Pelodiscus sinensis: one gene and its partner. The main gene of each other region encodes a partner of the protein of the gene in region 2 in a complex. Links are inferred from orthologs where the notes say so. Each region holds a gene or a part of one and is shown on either strand. Other genes may lie near its edges. The genes, in order: TCAIM and OGDH.

Region 1 (8,874 bases), on a different chromosome or scaffold from region 2:
AGCATTGAATGGTCATGAAATTTCAGAAACAGAGGGAACTCTATACACAATAGCTCAACTATCTCAATCCTCCCCCATCATAGGTTGTTGCTAAAGTTAGTTCCCTTATGTTAGATATCCCCTTGCATTTTAATTGGGCACATTATGGATAGGACTTTCTAGAATAATGCCTTTTTCACTGCTTGATAACTTTTGAACTAATAAAGTACTCAGAGGCAATGTTCCCTCTAATTTTTTCCATGCATGTTCAGAATAAATGTTATATGCACCAACACATGTTCAAATGTGCACCAGCAGGAGAAACACAAACCCAGCTGTAAGTGCTCTGCTAATGAGCAGGGTGGCATTGGAATCTCTGCTGAGTGGGCACACAAGTGCACACTTACAAGGAACACTGGAATATGGCACCTCTGAGCAGACACACTTCTCTTAATACAGATGAATGATCCCTTTTAATTCCCAACCAATCTTGTTCAGTGAGGTTAATGATCTTTGGCCTCTCTATGGTCATAAACAGGGCTCGCCGAAGTGCGGCAAGCCCTGCTTGCCAGCCGCGCTGTCCGGCGATCTGCACATGCACAGATCACCCGAACCCAGCTCTTCTGGGTTGCAATCTACTCGTCATGGGTGAGTAGTTTGCATTATTTGTAGAACCCTGGTCATAAATATTTTTTAGATGGGACACAGTGTTATACTTGTGTAATAGAACTAGCATAATCTTAGGGGGATAAGGCAATATGTTGAGTTTATTGTGGAGGCATAATTAATTTATTATCCATAGCTACTAAAATTATTCATCACACACACAGTTCTACAGATGGGATATAATTACCAGTCTCAGTTGCTCATATTATGCCATTGGCCAAGTGGTCTAGACCAGTGTTTTTCAACTAGTGGTTCAAGTACCTTCAGGGGTACTCAAGAGAAGTCTGGGAGGTACATCAACACAACTGAAATGTGAAGAAAACTGAATTTTTGTTCTAAGTTTTACAGTGTTTTATTATTTTTCTACTTTTTACACCCAAAAATTTCATCACCCACCTGACTACAATTAAGTTGTTTAAACAAATGAGTTGTAATGGTAGAAAAAATTGTGTGTGTCTGAAAACTGTAGGTACTGGGGGTACTTATATATATTTTTATTTTATTTTATTTTGAAAAGGGGTACTTTATTAAAAAAGGTTGAGAAATACTGGCCTAGACATCAGGAGGCAAGCCAGGTCGTGTCAGTGTGCACTGATGCTTCTAGAGGATGATTATAGAACTGAATGACCCAATTCTGGTTTTGCACCCACCGTTATATATTTTAGTCCATAAAGCCTGTCCTGTCCCACTGCCTCAGGACACTGTGGCTATGTCTACACTCGTGGCTTCTTGCACGAGAAATATACAAATGAGGCTAAGCGTGGAATATTGCCGAGCCTCATTTGCATACCTAATGAGCTGCCATTTTTGCAGAAGAGGCTCTTGCGCCAGAAGGAGCTGTCTACACTGCTCCTTCTTGCGCAACTAAAACCCTCTTGCACAATGCCGTTCTTCCTGAAAAGTAATCAGCATAATGGCATTGCGCAAGAGGGTTTTTGTTGCGCAAGAAGGGGCAGTGTAGACAGCTCCTTCTGACGCAAGAGTCTCTTCTGCAAAAATGGTGACTTATTAGGTATGCAAATGAGGCTTGGCGATAGTCTATGCTTAGCCTCATTGGCATATTTCTGGCCCAAGAAGCCACGAATGTAGACAGAGCCTGTGGACATGTCTACACTAGGAAATTATTTTGAAATAGCTAAATTTGAAATAATTCTCAAAATAACTCTTTTGAAATAAGCTTTTTCCCCAAGGAAAGCAGGAGTACAGATTTCAAAATAACCAGCCTATTTCAAAATAACAGGGTTGGTAGTGTGGACACTCCGCTTATTTCAAAATAACTCCCTAGTGTCGCCCAGAGCTGTATGACCATGAGTTATCAGTTGATGGCAGATGGGACATTGTCATTTCTTGATGAGGCTTTTGCCTTTTTTTTTTTTGTTCTTTTGCAGGGCCTGCCTGCATTATTCTTTGGCCCTGAGAGTGGTGCTAGCATCTGGTCATCTAGACATGCTGGCTTCTGGGACTGATTCCTTTACACGCACCCACATTCACACTTTTACAGATACACACACCTAACTTTAAACAGTGGTAAGGCAGTACAAAGTTTTAAATTGGATTTATTACAATATATAAAAAAGTTACAGTTACAGATTCTCCAAAGGCCATTCTCAACAGGTTACTAACAAATTAATCCAAATCCTATTAATAAAACTTGGGCTGCAATTCATGAGGTTACATAATCTCACATTGGTAGATATAATTTATTAAAAGGACGATTTCATTTTTCAGCCCCAAACAGGACATACTCCACTTTCCCTCTATGTGCTGTTCTCTTTTAAAAGGCTAGATTTTTATGGAGTAGTAGATGGATCTGAAATTTCTTAGCTAATATAAAGAGACACATGGTGTGGAAGTTAGTAATCAGGACATGCAAATGCATGTATTTAACTGGCAGGGAAGGCTGCAATTTTATTAATTTAATGTCTCTTTGAAGTATTATCTGTTCTCCTTCCCAAATTCTCATGTATTAGCTATTTGAACAGATTTAAAGTGGGAGGTTACAGAGTTCCCACAATATAGCCTCTCGGCCTACTCCAAGGATTTAAGTCACTCCAAAATCCTCTCACCCTCGAGTGTCCTCTCCAGTTGAACTACTGGATTCAGATTGCTTCAGTGCTGGAGCTTAGCTGTGATCAACATGCTAACTTGGCCACCGTCCAGTGTAACCAATGTGCTAGCGTGTTACAATTCCAGAGAACTAGCCTTGTTTGGAATGTCACAAAGAGGACCCTAGCAACCCTTCCATTCTAGGGATAGGAAGATCTAACCAGTTAACCTTCAAGCCTCACCCAAGGCTGAAGCAGCTTACTGCTGCAGATACAGGGCTGTTTCAGGTGTTGCTCCGGTGTCCCAGTCAGACTAGCTCTTGTCTGTGAGGCACCCTGGCCTGTCACAGACAGAGCTTTTGTCCACAGTGGGCCTGGATGCACCGCAGTCAGGGGGCTGGTCCAGGATCCTGGCCAGTACAGCCCCTGCCTGCAACGGGGTGGGAGAGAAAGGGAGGGAAGGAGTAGGGGGGGAGCACAGCAGAGTCTGCTCTGGCTGGGAGGGAAGGAGGCATTCCAGCTCAGCAGCAAGGGGGAGCATGTCCCTTATTCACCCCCTTTTAATTGGTTAACAAGTTAAACAATATGTTTAACCAGTCTGGGACTATAACAGGATTTTACATCCCTAGGACAAGCAGCTTTATAACAGTTTGGTTTCTAGCACGCTATTGCCTAAGGTCTCTAGGACTCAGAATTCTGATGCTGAGGATGTCACTGCACTATTGCTTGATTGATTACTCCTTGCATTTCCCATATTTCTCTTTGATGATAGTAGTGATTTCTCATTTTAGGAATTTTACTTTCTTGTCCTACATGCATTTAGAATGAGAAATTCTAGATAACTAGCAGCAGTGATTTAAACTCAGATTTTCAGAATGTAAATCTAGGCCAGATTTTTCTATCATCTTGCTTCTATATGCAATTATACATTTCTGTAAAGTGGATGTAAAATGCTAACATTCAAAATTACAAGATGGAAGGCAATATATCAAGAACATAGGTAACACTAGGCTTGGAAATACTATATCAGGGCTACTCAACTTTGGAAGCCCCAGGGACCTCAATGATACAGCACATGCTGAAGGCTGCAACTTAAGTGTACTTGCATGCAAATATATGCAAATCACTTTTCACACTGACAGATGAATACAAAGCACTTTCCATAATTCCCCAGCGCTCCCAGCACCTCCTCCCTGGGGAAGGGGGGGCTAGAAATGCCAACACCCTGTACCCGTCTCTTCCAGCCAGCCCCTCCGCTTGCATCTTTCAATGCTCAACCTGCCTGGGAGATGCCTCGCCATTGTTACAGATCAGCCAAGAAAAATGCTATTAGAGATTTAAACATATTTACTTTGTACAGATATACCTGTGGTGACATTTTAATGGTTAAGTTTCAAGTTTTTTTAATTTTAGCCATGTCTTTAAATACTTTGACCCTCTCCCTAGTTTCCCACAACTAAAAATTTAAATGGATTAAAATATTAAATTTTAAAAATCCATCAAAATTACCAAAATAAATTTGCCAATCCTAGGTAATAGTTATGGGCTTTATTGAGTGCCTATTACTACTGCATACAATTATATTTCGGTCCTTCACACTGAATCCCAAACACCGCTGTCGGCTATGCAAAGTGCTCAGTAACCTCTGGTTTGAAATGCTGAGACGTGCGTTTGGCTCACTAGGGCTATGGCAGCGCCTGGCAATTTCGGGGCTGACTTAAAAGGAACACAATGTGTCCCATTCGCTTGCGCGTCAACAAACAGCAACTGCTTGGGAATTGCGTTCCCCGGCAGCGCACAGTCTCGGCGAGAGAAAGCAGCGCGGGGCAGGAGGCGTTGCCAGGCCCCCGCTCCTCAAGCCCCGCAGAAGCTGCGGCAGCAGCAGGAGCGCGAGTCCCAGCCCGCGTTGCACACGCGCTGCCTTGCTCGGCAGGTAGACGCCGGCCCCTTCCGCGTGGCCCAAATCACGCGCGCTGCGCGGGGAGGAAGCCGTTCGCCAGCCTGAGCCGGGCCGCGCACCCTGGGCTTCTACGTTCTGCCGCCGCGAAACGACCTCGCTGGCGCGGGGACACGGCTGTCACGCATGCGCGGCTGCTTTGACGGTGCGGTGGGAAGTTGCGCGAGTGCGCGCGCTCCTTCTCCCTCGCGCTCGCGTGCGAGGAGGAGCGCAAGATGACGTGGCTGCACCGCGGCGCTCGAAGACGGGTCATTGCGCGAGCCGGAGGCGCCTGTTCGGGAGGTGGGAAAGTGACGGCGACGAGACCCCGCCCCTCAGGCAGCTCCTCCTCCACCCTCTCAAGTGGGGTGTCCCTGTGCCACCTTCCCCCCCTCTAACCCTCCCCCCTCGCGCGCCGCCATGGGGACCGAGCCCCGGCAGGCAGGGGGAGGGGCTGCTGTCCCGACCCTGAGGTAAGGGGCGGGGCTGTGAGTTGTGACGCGGCCTGGCGGCAGGTGCTTGTGACCCTGCCTCGCTCGGGGGAGCACTCGCGCCCCAGCTGCCGGCGGGACCATCCTTGGCCGGGAGCTGGCGGTTGAACGCGCTGACGGGCCGCGACGGGGACCGGCTTCCACGTGACGCGTTCAAAACTTCCCGCGGGATCTCGCTGCTGCTGCTGCTGCCGCCGTGAGGGGGGGGGGCGGCGGCGCATGGAGCCCCCGCCGCTTGCTGAGGCGGCCCTTTGCGCGGGGTCCGGGTTGTAGTCGCGGTGTTGTGCGGGGCCTGCCCGCAGAGAGGCTGGGGCTAGAACACGTAGTAGCCCCCTGGGAGGGCTAAGCTGTGTCTGGCGCCCTTCGCGGGTCTTGGGTTCTCTGGCCTGGCCGGGCTCTGAATACAGACCCTCCCTCTGGCTGAAACAAAACCAGGACTATGCAGCACTTTAAAGACTAACAAGATGGTTTATTAGATGATGAGCTTTCGTGGGCCAGACCCACTTCCTCAGATCAAATGGTGGAAGAAAATTGTCACAACCATATATACCAAAGGATACAATTAAAAAAAACGAACACATCTGAAATTTGATTTGTCCTTTTCATAACAGAAGAGGGATGGGGGGGGGGGAAGGTCTGTGGGCTAATGATATTAGAGGTGATAATTGGGGAAGCTATCTTTGTAATGGGTAAGGTAATTAGATTGTTTATTCAGACTCACGTGTAAAGTGTTGAATTTAAGCATGAATAACAGTTCAGAGGATTTTCTTTCAAGTGCAGTCTTAAAAGGCTTTTGAAGCAGGATGCCTCTGGCTGTAATACTTGGGGTTGGTGCTGAGGGGTGTTGGTGGCCTGTGTTATACAAGAGGTCAGGCTGGGTGGTGCCCTCTGTCCTTAAACCCTGTGGATGGTCAAGAGTCGGAAGACACTTGGCCTGTGCTGTGTTTTGGAGACCTCTCCCCTATTAGGTGTGTGCAAGCCATCAATGAACGTGCATCCTGTCCATCGGGAAGCCAGTCTAAAACTCTTCCTGTCCTGCCTCAAACAAGAGGTTTTGATTTGGAGCTGCTGTAAGATTGAGTGCATCTCAGATCTATCACATAATACAGTAAAAACTTAAAAACCAACAGATAGTTCTTCAGCACCTTGGAGACTAACAAAATGTAGATGGTATCATGAGCTTTCATGGGCACACCCCACTTCTTCAGATTAATGGAGTAAGGGGTTCAGGGTACAAAAATACATACAGTAAGCCTACCAGGTGTCTGAGGCAGCAAATGTTTAGTCACTTGTTAATGTAGATTTCAACATGGTGTATTTTACATTTTCCTATTGACAAATCAGCCCAGATTCATTCTCTCTTGCATAGAGCTAAAGATTCACATTTTAGATTTCAAACCGTTTTTTCAGTCTGGAGATAGAATTTGCTGGGTGTTTCACGAGATACTTTTAAAATGTACTCACATCTTTTTGAATGTTTTGTATTTTATACTGCACTGAATTTCCCTTAAGCAGAAAAAAGTAACACAACCAGTTCTAGTGTTGTGTTCTAACCATGGGTGTGGCTGAACACCCAGCAGGGGAAGGCAAATCCCAGCCCCATCCCATCTGCCTAAGGCTCCTTTCCCATCTTCCCCCCTCCCCACAAACTGGATCCAAGACTCCTTAGTCTCACCATCCCAGCAGTGCTGCAGTCCCAGCCCTCCTGTGTGTTGGGCACATGGGCAGTTTTGGGAAAACAACATCTTTCCTTGCCTACATTACCCGCCACTCAGGGCTCTAAACTGTGTTGTAGTTAAAATGCTTATATGAATGCTCATATGAATGTTTGTTTAGTTCATTCTGTATACATTCTTGTTGAAGTAACCATGTAGCAATCTGGCAAATTAGGGAAATCCACCCACCCTATGCTGCTGCCTCTGTTTTACATGATTACTTAACTAAACACATTTTAACATCCCTAGTTTAAGCTTCTTCAGCTTCTGCCTGTTCATTCCTACTAACATTGATATATAGTAAACTGCTGAACATTCCAGACAGCAGCTGCTGGGAAATGCTCTCAATAATCAAGTGCTCAGTTAATGTGAGGAACAATACTGACTACTTACACACTGCAGCTTCCCTTGAGTGGGGACTGCCAGTTATAGTGAACTACTTTGTGCCTTACCAAAGGAAAAAGGAGGCTATATCGGGGTAGGCAAAAGCCTTTCAGCAGGCCAAACCTAGGGCTTTGATCTGGCCTGCAGGGCAGTTCCAGGCCACAACCCCTAGCAGGTTGCTTCGGAGCAGGAGAGGGGTGCAAACCTGTCTAACTGCTTCTATTTAAAGGGTTTGTGTCTTCCTCACACCTTGCCTAGCAGCTGCAAGGAAGGCACAAGCCCTTTCAATAGAAACAGTTGAAAGGGCTTGCATCTCTGTCTCCCTAGCAACGTGCTAGAAGCATGGGGAGCTGCAAGCCCTTTCAAGCGCTTCTATTTAAAGAGGTGGCACCTTCCCTGTGCCTGTCAGGCAGCATGTTGCCTAGTAGCCGTGGGAACAGGAGAGCCCTTTAAATAGAAACAGATGAAACTGCATGGAACTCCACTCACCTCTAGCACGTTTGCCAGAGATGCCTGATCCCTTTCAGCTGTTTCTATTTTAAGGGCTCTCTTGTTCCCACAGCTGCTAGGCAATGCTGCCTGAAAAGTGCAATGAAGGCACAGGCACAAGCCCTTTAAAAGAGCTTGTGTCTCTTTCTTCGGAGCAATGCATTAGAGGCATGGGGAGCTGTGAGCTCTTTTAAGCGCTTCTATTTAAAGAGCTGGTGCCTTCCCTGGGCCCTACAGGCAGCTTGCTTAGCAGCTGTGCAGAACACTGGAGCCCTTTAAATAGAAACAGCTGAAAGGGATTGCTCATCTCTGGCAACATGTTAGAGGCATGGGAAGCTGCCAGCCCTTTCAGCTGTTTCTATTTAAAGGGCTCTTGTGTTCCCACAACTGCAAGGCAATGCATTGCCTGACAGGACCAGGCAAGGTACCAGCCCTTTAAATAGAAGCACTTAAAAGGGCTTGCAGCTCCCGGTGCCTCTAGAGTGTTGCTAGCAAGCCAGAGATTCACCTGCTGCGTGGCTGCATTTCCTAGCAGCTACCCAGCAGGTGCAAGCCCTTTAAACAGAAGCAATAAAAAGAGCTCACTGCTATGCCCCAATGGCCTGTTGCCTAAGAGCTGCCCAGAGACATGAGCCCTTTCAACTGTTTCTATTCAAAGGGCTTCTGCCTGCCGGGCAGCTGCCAGACAACAGGGCTATGTCTACACTTGAGGTTTCTTGTGCAAGTATGGCCATTCTCGCGCAAGAATCCGCAGAGCATCTGCACTGCCCACTCACTCTTGCGCAAGGAAATTTACATTACGGCATGGTAAGAGAGGGCTTCTTGAGCAAGAGCTATGCTCTTTAACAGGTGCAAGCCCTCTTGCACAGGAACTCTTGCGCAAGAGGGCAATGTGTACACTCGGCAGGGATTTCTTGCGCAAGAAAGCCCTATGGCTAAAATGGCCGTCGGAGCTTTCTTTCGCAAGAGAGCGTCCACACTGCCATGGGAGCTCTTGCGCAAAAGCACAGCGTGCACATGGCAGTGTGGATGTTTTCTTGCGCAAGACTTCTTGCGCAAGAAGCCATGAGTGTAGACATAGCCCAGGTTAGCAGTGGGGACCAGGAGCTGTGAGCCCTGTTGTATGAAATCTAAACCTGCACCGCAGACAATGCTAGGAGGAGGATAGC
Region 2 (9,898 bases):
GCCCGCTTGGCGGGGAATCCGGCTGATACACGCCGAGCCAAGCTTTTAGTCCTTTGCCCTGGGCTGCTTCCTACCACACCCTGGTTCTCCTGGGGCCCATTCGCCTCCGAGTCAGTACCTGCCAGGGTTGCGGGCATGCTCTTGCCTCCCTGGTGATGGCAGCTGCTGGCTCTGTCTCTGGGTCAGGCACGGGCAGCACCTCTGGTCTCAGCTGCTGCAGAAACACCGGCCTGGCCTGGTCTACTCCCTCATCCTGCGGTGTCCTTGGCTGCAGGGCTCCCTCTGCTTTTATACCCAGCCTCTACTGGAAACATGCCCAGCAGGGCTGGAGGGGCGGGGCTTTCTCCACCAGCTGGGCCTTGACTACCCCTTGTCCATCAGTGCGGGGCCTGTCCGCCTCGTCACAGTTGGACATTAGGAAAAAGTTCCTGTCAGGGTGATCAAGCATTGGAATAAATTGCCTGGGGTGGTTGCGGAATCTCCATCTCCAGAGATATTTAAGAGCAGGTTAGATAAATGTCTATCAGGGATGGTCTAGACAGTACTGGGTCCTGCCATGAGGGCAGGGAACTGGACTCGATGACCTCTCGAGGTCCCTTCTAGTCCTAGTATTCTATGATTCTAGTGCCAAATGCACATAAATCAAACTCACCTAGTTTTGTTCTTTGAGTGAAGTGCTTTGTATGTCAATAATTAAACACAAAAGGCCTTGATGGGGACCAGTTGTGTATTTTGATGCCCCACCCCCACAACACTAGGAAAAACACCCCTTGTGAAAACAAAAACAAAAAAACAAAAAACCACACAAACCCCCCTTTTATTTATTTACAAAATTTGACTTTCCATCCATCCTAGAGCTCTTCTGCTAAGGATCATCTCAAAGACAGATAGTGCTATGTAGTCTGGCTGCATGAGACCACTCCTAGAATGTCACAGGTATTTAGCATGACATGCATGTCTGGGGAGGGCAGATGTGCTATCAAAAGCACAGTTATGAAAAAGAGAACAGAGTGAGTGAGTTCTGGTCTGCAGGACGTCTGTTCTGGGGTTACAGTATGCTGACCAGGAATTGAAGTCCTGTTCTGTTACTTTGCACCTCAGGTCACACAGCGCAATCTATACAAGTTCCCATAGCACTGGGGGATCTGAATTATGTAGAACTCTCTCTGCAGGTGTCCGAAGCAGGACATTTTCAGAAATCCTGTTCTCTACACACAGTGCAAGGTCTCAGTTCATAGCCTCTCCAAAGCTTGCCCAGAGATGAGACGGGAAAGCAGCTAAGTCTACAATTCCGCAAGCTTCCCTTAGACATGAGGCTGAAGATCACCTCCTGGCCCCACCAAGCATTCCTTCCTAGTGGAGGTTTTTAATTTCACCCTCTAACTGTAAGACTGTCTAGTGTACAGCAATAGCAGAGCTAGTTCAATGTCTATTATTAACTTCATACAGTTACTCCTCAGACTTCCAGTGACACTTTGCTTGGTAATGGCTCCTGGCAATTACTAGCCAACAGACTACTTCCTGTGGTCCAAATTCAGCCCCGCTAAGAGGGATTTATGAGACAATTATGCTAAACAGAGCTGCACGCGTTTGTATAGGGTTGAATACTGTACTGAAACTTGTAAACTTAATCTACCACGGACCATGGCCAAAGTGATTGTGTGTGATGGCCATTAACCCAACACATGCATGTTAGTGACAGATTTCAAGGTGGTATGCTATCGGATACCAGCTCTGGATAGACTAAAGCTCACTAGAATTTTACACTTGTAACCCTTAGAATAATTATCTTCTGAAGTTAGTAGCTTGAGGAAAAGTTAAGGAATGGCTGGTAGAAAGAGCTCTGCTAACCACAGCAGAGGATTTTATACCCACATTTCTGCCACCCAAGTGGTGTTGGAAGAACGACTCTGCAGCAGAGCCAGCATACTTACTCACAGGAGATCAAACACTGCCGCGCTGAGCACAATTTGCATCCCACATTAATAGTGGAATGCACAGAACTTGAACCCAATTCCCTCCTCCCTGCTCTCCCAACACTCCATCAGAAAGGAAAAGCAGCAGCTCAGCAAGAGGGGGATTCCCAGGAAAGGCAGCTCTTCTCTTTGAATCCACCTTTGATTCCCAAAGCAGAACATGCCGAGTTGACTGAATGCTCTGAGCTTCTCGGATTCAATCCAGAACGAAGCAGGATCGAATTGTTTTGCTATTGCTCAATTAAACACTGTTGGTTCTTTCCACAGAAGCGGACGTGGAACTGATGATTCGTGATTCCCAGGCTCTTTGCGCTGAATTCCTTCCGGACATCTGCACTTACCTGACTGTGCCATTGGACTCTCTCTCACACACATGCAGGAGATGAAGGAACAATATCCTGGACGAATGGCTCCTCCTTACCTTATGTACACTTTTGGGATTTTCCAGCCACGCATAGTACATTTCCTCCACATAGTTCGAACTAGTCCCACTCAGAAACGGCTCAGCAGCCACAGGCGCACTGTAACACCTGATTTGCTGGAACGTCCTTGGTGCTGCTGGCTTGTGTTGGGAAATTGTCTTAACAGTCTGTGAGGCCGTCAACGGCCTCAATTTAGCAGCACAAGTCCTTAAGTGAAACATTTTTGTCCTGTAGCCGCTCACAAGCTCCTGTTGGTATAGGAATAAGAAGCATTTTAGACATTGAACTGTTTTGCAATTTACAAAGAGAAATCAACCCAATAACCATCTAGCTGTTACTTAGCATTTCTCATCCACAGATCTCAAAGCCCTTCTCAAACATTGTTTCCCCATCTGTAAAATGGAGATTGAGACTGGAATCAGAGTCACTCAGCAGAGCGGAGCCAGTAACAGGTTTCCCATGTCCTAGAGCAACGCTCCATCCAGGAGGCCACGCTGCCCCTCCTCCAGTCAGATTTCTCATTTGGCTACTTGAAACCAATAGCTTAGTATGGGTATTGGCACTGCACAACTACTGAATTAAGATATGGACTAGTATCCCTTTGGGTTAATCCCCTCCACTCCCCAATAGGGATGTTAACAAACACGTGCGTAAACATGTAACCACTGGATTTTTTTTAATTGTTACACATTTACATGTGGGGTAGACGGGGGGAGAAGCACTCTCTCCTGCCTACCCCAGGCAGTTCTGGGGGAGCCAATACATGGGGGGAGCCACCAGCAACCTGGGGGCGAGGGGCATGTAGTCATCAGCAGGGCTCACCAAACCGCGGCGAGCCCAGCTCACCAGCTGCGCTGTCCAGCGATCTGCGCATGCGCAGAACGCCCGAACCCAGCTCTTCCGGGTTACCATCTACTCGCCACAGGCAAGTAGATTGTATTATTTGTCGAGCCCTGGTCATTAGAATTAACAGATAAGACCAGGCTTATCAATCAATCAAATCATTTAAATGATTACACACTAACATCCCTTCCCATACTGACTGGCTGCAATTGGCTGGGGAGTAGGGAACTAAAGCAGAAAGTGAAATCCAACCCTAACAGCAACTTTTTCTCCCCTATTTTGCTTTCAGTTTACATCACCTAAAACTGAAGTTTAATATATCAACTTGTAAGCTTTACATTTATCAAGCAGTACTCCATTGTGAACAGATGTTCGTTTTTCTGACAACCGCTGATAAAATGAGAAAGGTCTGATCATTTATACCTCTTGGGGCACAGGAATAAAGGAGGGAACACTAGGCTGTAAATGTGATCAGAGAAAGCTGGTCAGTAGGCTGCGGACAAAGAGCATCAGAAGCAAAGCTAGAGGAGAGGTAGGAATGATTAAAAGCAAAGGGGATGTTGGGAAAATGGATTTACTGACAGGGAAGGCACCCCAAGAGAGCGTAATTGCAACTCACTGGAAGCAGTGGAGGCAAAATGCTGAGACTGCCACTCAGCAGCACTTCTGCTGAACTTTGTTCCCATTCCCACCTCCCTGCAGTTCTCTTAGTGTCCACATTGCTCACTCCCAAACACGCGGGGCAGGGAAAGAGTTGCCCTTGCGTGCAGCGCAACATATGCAGGCATTTTACAACATGTGCGCCATTCCTCCTAGTGCACTAGGAAGAGGTCATTAAGCCATCAGAGTAAAATTATCAGCTATTATGCAAAATTAAAACGTAACATACAAGAAGCATATCTTCTTGGATTTGCTGTCCAACTAAACGCGAGAGACGCGGGTTCCAGGAAAGGCCCTATTTCCCTTTAAAGAGTGGAGGGCTGGGATTCCGAGGCTATGTCTTCACTGGAAAAAAAATAGGTGACATCTGACCATCTCAATGCTAAATCCCTGTGGACACAAACCAAAAGTACCTTACTGCAGACAGATGAAGGAGACCACAAGTAGCCACCTTGCTGTAAAAGTTCCCCATACCTTGTCTCCACTAAGAACTTACAGCAAGACAACTATCTCAAAACTAATGCAAGGTTTTTGCAGTGAAGACCTAGCCTTAGTGAATCAGACTCCTAAAGCTATCTTATGGCTAATGCCTGTTTATTCGGCTGAGACAGTACAGGCAGTCCCCAGGTTACATGGATCCGACTTGCATCGGATCCCTACTTACAAACGGGGTGAGGCAACCCCGCACTAGCTGCTTCCCCCCAGCAGACCAGGGAGACGCGAAGCTAGCGCCCCCCCCCAGCAGACCAGGGAGACGCGGAGCGGCTTTTCTCAGCAGACACCTCAGCTTGAGAATAAAGGACTGAGGGAAGTGAGGTGTGGGAGAATAAAACTGAGCTCTGGAGAAATGTTTGGCTAGAGTTTCCCCTACAATATGTACCAGTTCCAACTTACATACAAATTCAACTTAAGAGCAAACCTACAGTCCCGATCTTGTACGTAACCCGGGGACTGCCTGTACTGTAATTGAGTCAATTAAAAAAAAGCTTCAAATAATTTCTTGTCCTTCTGCCAATTCCTGTGCTTTTTAGTTGTTTTTTCCTATTTAAAAAAAGGAAAATTTTCCAATGGAAGTGGAACATCTGAAAATCTGGCCCTTACACCTCTGCTCCCCTTCCCAGCTATTCCTATTAACATTTCAAATCTAGTCCTTGAGATGAACACTGACTCCCCTTTAAAAACAAAAAGAAATGTCAGTGACAGTGCACAAGCTATTGGTGCAGCTACATGCCGTCATAACACACAGAATACTTACGGATCAGTCTGTCAGCAGAGCAGCCGTCACCAGGCCATACAATACCCAGCAGTTTGTCTCTTTTAAAAGCCCTAGGACAGTGGCATGTGAGCTGGAGGCTACTTCCAGAATTGGTACACTGGCTGGGGAGAGGGTTTCGGCCTTTCGTTTACAAAACATTTACTTAAAAACACAAACAAGTTTGTTCAGTGAGAGCCCACTAAGTGGACATAAAAAGCCCCTATCCCCAGCTGAGAACTGGCAGGGTCTGTTTGGCAGCTGGATCACGGGGTTCAATGTTACATTTTCTCCAGCAACCTCATGTGAAGATGGCACAACCCTCCTTCATAAGCAAAAACCGCAAGAAAACAACTTTGGTTACATAAACCCAGCTTGGAAACATTTTCCATTACCCCCTTTCCTATTTAATAGGCACTGGCTGAGAGTTGCTGGCTGGGAGTTGCAACTGGTTAACTAGGACAGCACTTTTCTTCCAGCTACAATTTTATTGCATTGCTCACCGAGCTGCCATGGTGCTTTTGGGCCAGAATTCAATGGAGTGCTACAGGCTGCACCTCTAGTCTGGATTTCCCTCACCCGGAGACCATCTCTGGCCTGACATCCCCATGGGTGCTCCTGGGCTGGAACCCTCATGAGGAAAAGCTGAGGCCCAATGCTCAGCTGTTCCTCCCGTCCTCCCAAAAGCTTCCGGAGCTGGAAAAGTGGGGACAGGAGGCAAGACGCCCAGGAGAAGGCTACACTGCCACCCCGTCTCTTCTGCCGAGCACCCTCCACCCAGTCCCTGCTCAGTCAATGCCAGCCCCTCTGCTGCCATCAAGCAGATCCCTGCAGCCAGGGCAGCAGAGGGGCCGGCACTGACTGCCCCTGGTCCAGGACCCGTCAGATCTCCAGGGTGCCAGACCAAGGAGGGACAATCTGGAGTAGAGAAGTATAGTGCCTTCCTTGCTGTGCACTCAAAGCCCTTCACAGCACTACACTGTGACTTCACTAAGGGAAAAGGTACGTTCTTAACAGGTGGTAAAATCCTGGAGAAGATAACTATGCTGCAGTTTCCCACATGACTTTGTACATCAAGGTAAAAGCCCTAAGGTCCCTCCAAGTCTATGGCTGTGTCTTACCTTCAGCAAGATAACATACCCTAACCTGCTGCTCCACCCCCTTTTTGGCAGCGAAAACATAGCCCTTAAATCAGGAGTGGGGAGCCTCCGGTTCGGGCTGGTCAGGGTTAGCTGCTGGGGGCTGCAAGGCAGTTTGCTTACTGAGTGTCTGCAGGCATGCTACTCACAGCTCCCAGGGGCTGTGGTTTGCTGCTCCCGGCCAATGGAAGCTGTGGGAATCAGGGAACCTCCGGTACACTACTACCCACTTTAAATCAACCTGCTAACTTGTACAAAAAACTACCCACTGCCTCGTCATCACTAGGATTCTACCTCTTGGTAGTTACCATTCAGAGAGGCTTATGGACCAACTTTTCATGGAGTAATCTAATTCTGGTGTCCAACTGGAGACATTTGGGACATGACTTTCAAAGATGCTGAGAACAATGACTGTTGAGAACTCAACACCTGCAAAAGTTGAGTCTAAGCATTCTAATTAGCGCTCATCTGGGTAACAAGCTTGTTGCGTGTGCGAGGCCTTTGCACAATTCCATAGCAAATGCTCTGGCTAAAAAACTGGCCAGTAACTATTAGTCTATTGACTTTCCCAGGTTTAGGGCTAACTGAAGGAACAGATTCTCTTAGAGGAGGTAGGAGAGTTTGGTCATCCATGGCTTCACTGAACAGAGGTGTTCAAGTTTCAGAGAACATTTGTTAAAATTCATTTGGTCTTTCCAACCTTCATTTCTTTTGAAGTCTAAGCTATTGCTCCAGTTTCTAGAGGAACATCAGAAAGCTCTTTCCAACAGATCTGTGACAGAGACAATTCACAAATAGGGCATCTTTTATTGATTCCTTCTTGGGCTACAGCTGTGCATACAATTGTTAAAAGTGTTTATTAACATCTGACTTGTGTATAATTACTGCTACCATCACAAATACCAGTGATCTTATTTCTGTTAGTCTTTTCCTTAAGTCTGTAAACCAACATCTTGTCAGATCTCGACAGACTCCCAGTGGTTTTGCATCAAAACAGAAGCAAACAAACACTCAGTCTTTTGGGATGCAAGTCTGTTGATTTCATATCTTAGGATTGATAGGGATTCTGAGTGTCTCCCTGAATGAGACAGAAAAACAATAGCTATTTTTAGTAACTCCAAGCATAGGCACTTTTATTTGGAACAAGAGTGCCTTGGCTCCTGTTTAGCTTAATCTACTTTCAATGGGATCGGAGAACTTTTGCTCCAAAGTAAGTGTCGATGGGTAGAGATTTTCAGGAATAACCCTATGTACACAAGCCACTATTAGGCTCCTAAGAGATGAAGTGTCAAAAAAGTATTAGTGGTAAATATTTTAAAAGTTTTGGCTTAGAACTGATCTGCCCAATTCCAAATAAAGTGCTTTGGCTTGTCTATACTCAGAAGCTGCACAGGTTTAATATGAATCAGTTTAGTTACACCTTACAGCCTGTCTGGGGAGACTCATATTGGTTTATATTTAGATACATTAATTTAGCCTATGCTTGTAAATGTGCCGATATAAAGTAAACCGATGAGAGTTCAGATACAAAGCTGAACCAGTTTAACTAAAACAGTATTCAAATGTATTGATCACATGTACAGCTGTGTTGACAAGGAAGCATTAAAGCTGGACTCAAACTCAGAAATTCCTCAATTCCCTGTTTTTAGTTGTTTTCACTGAAAGATCAGTGACTACAAATATTCAGAATAAACCCAGTATTCAAACTATACAAAGACAGACCATTAAACACTGTAGATTAAGCTACTTAATTTGGCCTCAAACCAGCCAGAAGAGTCAATAAAACTTGTCACAGAAGACAGACTGGGAATCACTTTTTGCTTAAGCAAGGACCAAGCCAAACAAACAGAGGATTAAGAGAATGAATGTCTGATTAAAGGAAAAATTAGGCTGCTAAACTGGTGAAGTGAACCCTACACATATAAGCATAAGTAATAAACTAAACAAGTCTTGAACTATCTGAGTTTAGCTAATTTTGTTAAATGCTATTAGACTGCTAAATGTAGTTTTTAATACTAACAACACAGGTCCCTTACTTTAGGTGACCAAATGATTAAAGTAGTGGGTTTTTTTTTGGTTTTTTTAAGTCTTAAGAACTATTATTTGCCCTTTTTTGCTGCCAGGGGCCTAGCATATCTGAGTATGTTTAACATTACTGCTGTAGAGTGTTATTTTATTTTTAAAGAAGGTGTGTGCTTATTCAAGGTCACCTCAAACAAAATAAATCTCTGTAACTGTTCCACCAGAAGCTGTAACAACTAGCACTATCAAAACATACAGGAAATGGAAAGAGTTCTCCATCCGCTCAGTGAGGGCTGAAAATTCATTTGGAGTTTAAAAAAAAGTTAAAATCAGATGATTATGAACTACTTTTTTGCAATAAGTCAGTTAATTCATGTTTCCAATAACTGAAATCCTGACGCACACATTCAGCCCAACTCCACTAAACAAACTGATCCAGACGTGAAGGGACAGCAGTTTCTCAACAAAGCTACAAAACACATTATCAGTTTGTTTAACCTTAAACTGTTCAATAGTGCCTATTTGAAACAGAAAGATTCCTGGCATGAAGATTTACACATAGGACTAAGAACGTAAAAATGGAGCAAAAAAATCTTCAGCCCCCTTCAAAATATTGAAAAATTTTCCACGGAACATTCTGTCTAAATGAGGTTCCTGATCACTTGTATCCTATAGCAGGTGTAGGCAAAAATACAGCCCATGTGCAAGATTCAACTTTATTAAAAGGCAAAGCAAGCATATGCTATTCTGTTTACACTACTGGAAGTTCCATTCTCCCCGCCATCCCCACATGTCCATCTTTGTGGAAGGCATTTCTGACGGCTTGCCTCCGGATATGCCTTCACACTACAAGTTAACCCCGTGGTCACCAACCAGTAGATCGCGAGCTACTGGTAGATCCCAGGGGCTCTAAGAGTAGCTCTTGAGCCCTCTCTGAACTGCGCACCTGCGCAGCACATTTACATTAGATTTCCACATGTAATGGAGGCGGGGCTTCAAGGAAGGGGCGGGGCAGTAGAGCTTCTCCTGTTCTGAGACTTAAAAAGTGATCTTGGGTGTAAAAAGGTTGGAGACCACTGAGTTAACCCATGCTCCTATTTAACTCCAATGCTGACAGTCTAGCAATATCAACCCACAATTCTCTCAGAGGTACATTTTCCTGTCTTCTACCCATTCCCTGCTTCCACACAAGCACTCTCACCTGAGAGTCTGAAGACAACAGTTTGGCGCTTAAACCCATTCCACACAGCCCACTACACTGCGCTCTTTCAGAGGGGTGGTGGGGGCTGCTTTTAGTTGGCTCCTTGAGCATACCGGCCCTCCTGGAGCTGCCTATAACCATGCAATGGCTGAAGTTTTCAGCAGTTACATGGATTACTGAAGTGGATTTGCACATCCCTAGTATGAATACTTCTCACGCCAACGCCACAGTTCAGCGATCTGAGCCAATTAAATCGGATCTTCCCCATTCGAATCCCCTTTTCCAACCCTCGCTGCAAACTGTGGCTATGACTGAGGCCAGGTCTAGACTGCAGCCCAGCCAAGCGGCTCGGGAGCGTGAACACCTCGCACCCCGCCCCAGCA

What was found.
Region 1: the proteins of OGDH (region 2) and TCAIM are in contact, whole or in part, in a cryo-EM structure (PDB 8I0K), measured with the Homo sapiens proteins. The link is inferred for Pelodiscus sinensis from reciprocal best matches to the Homo sapiens genes OGDH and TCAIM. Residues at the interface, in NP_001425937.1 of Homo sapiens: Gly301, Tyr304, Arg323, Tyr354, Arg356, Ile358, Arg364, Asn365, Lys387, Glu391, Tyr394, Cys395, Gly396, Thr398, Glu399, Lys401, Lys402, Lys561, Met602, Pro605, Glu667, Gly668, Ile669, Asn709, Met734, Ala735, Ser736, Pro737, Asn738, Gln772; in NP_001269842.1 of Homo sapiens: Glu214, Gln234, Arg235, Ser236, Trp237, Gly238, His241, Ser244, His247, Ser248, Arg251, Gln255, Asp272, Arg273, Thr286, Met287, Asp288, Val289, His290, His291, Glu331, Leu332, Gln333, Pro334, Val335, Arg375, Tyr376, Glu441, Ser443, His473.

The regions. Positions count from the first base shown.
Region 1 is NC_134712.1:183,344,399-183,353,272, forward strand, and holds the start of TCAIM (T-cell activation inhibitor, mitochondrial), read left to right. Parts: upstream 1-4,500; 5' UTR 4,501-4,623; intron 4,624-4,787; exon of another isoform or gene 4,788-5,099; intron 5,100-8,874. UniProt on the Homo sapiens protein: May regulate T-cell apoptosis.
Region 2 is NC_134738.1:4,938,748-4,948,645, forward strand, and holds the start of OGDH (2-oxoglutarate dehydrogenase complex component E1), read right to left. Parts: upstream 4,260-9,898; 5' UTR 4,140-4,259; coding exon 4,131-4,139; intron 2,647-4,130; coding exon 2,398-2,646; intron 1-2,397. UniProt on the Homo sapiens protein: 2-oxoglutarate dehydrogenase (E1o) component of the 2-oxoglutarate dehydrogenase complex (OGDHC). Participates in the first step, rate limiting for the overall conversion of 2-oxoglutarate to succinyl-CoA and CO(2) catalyzed by the whole OGDHC.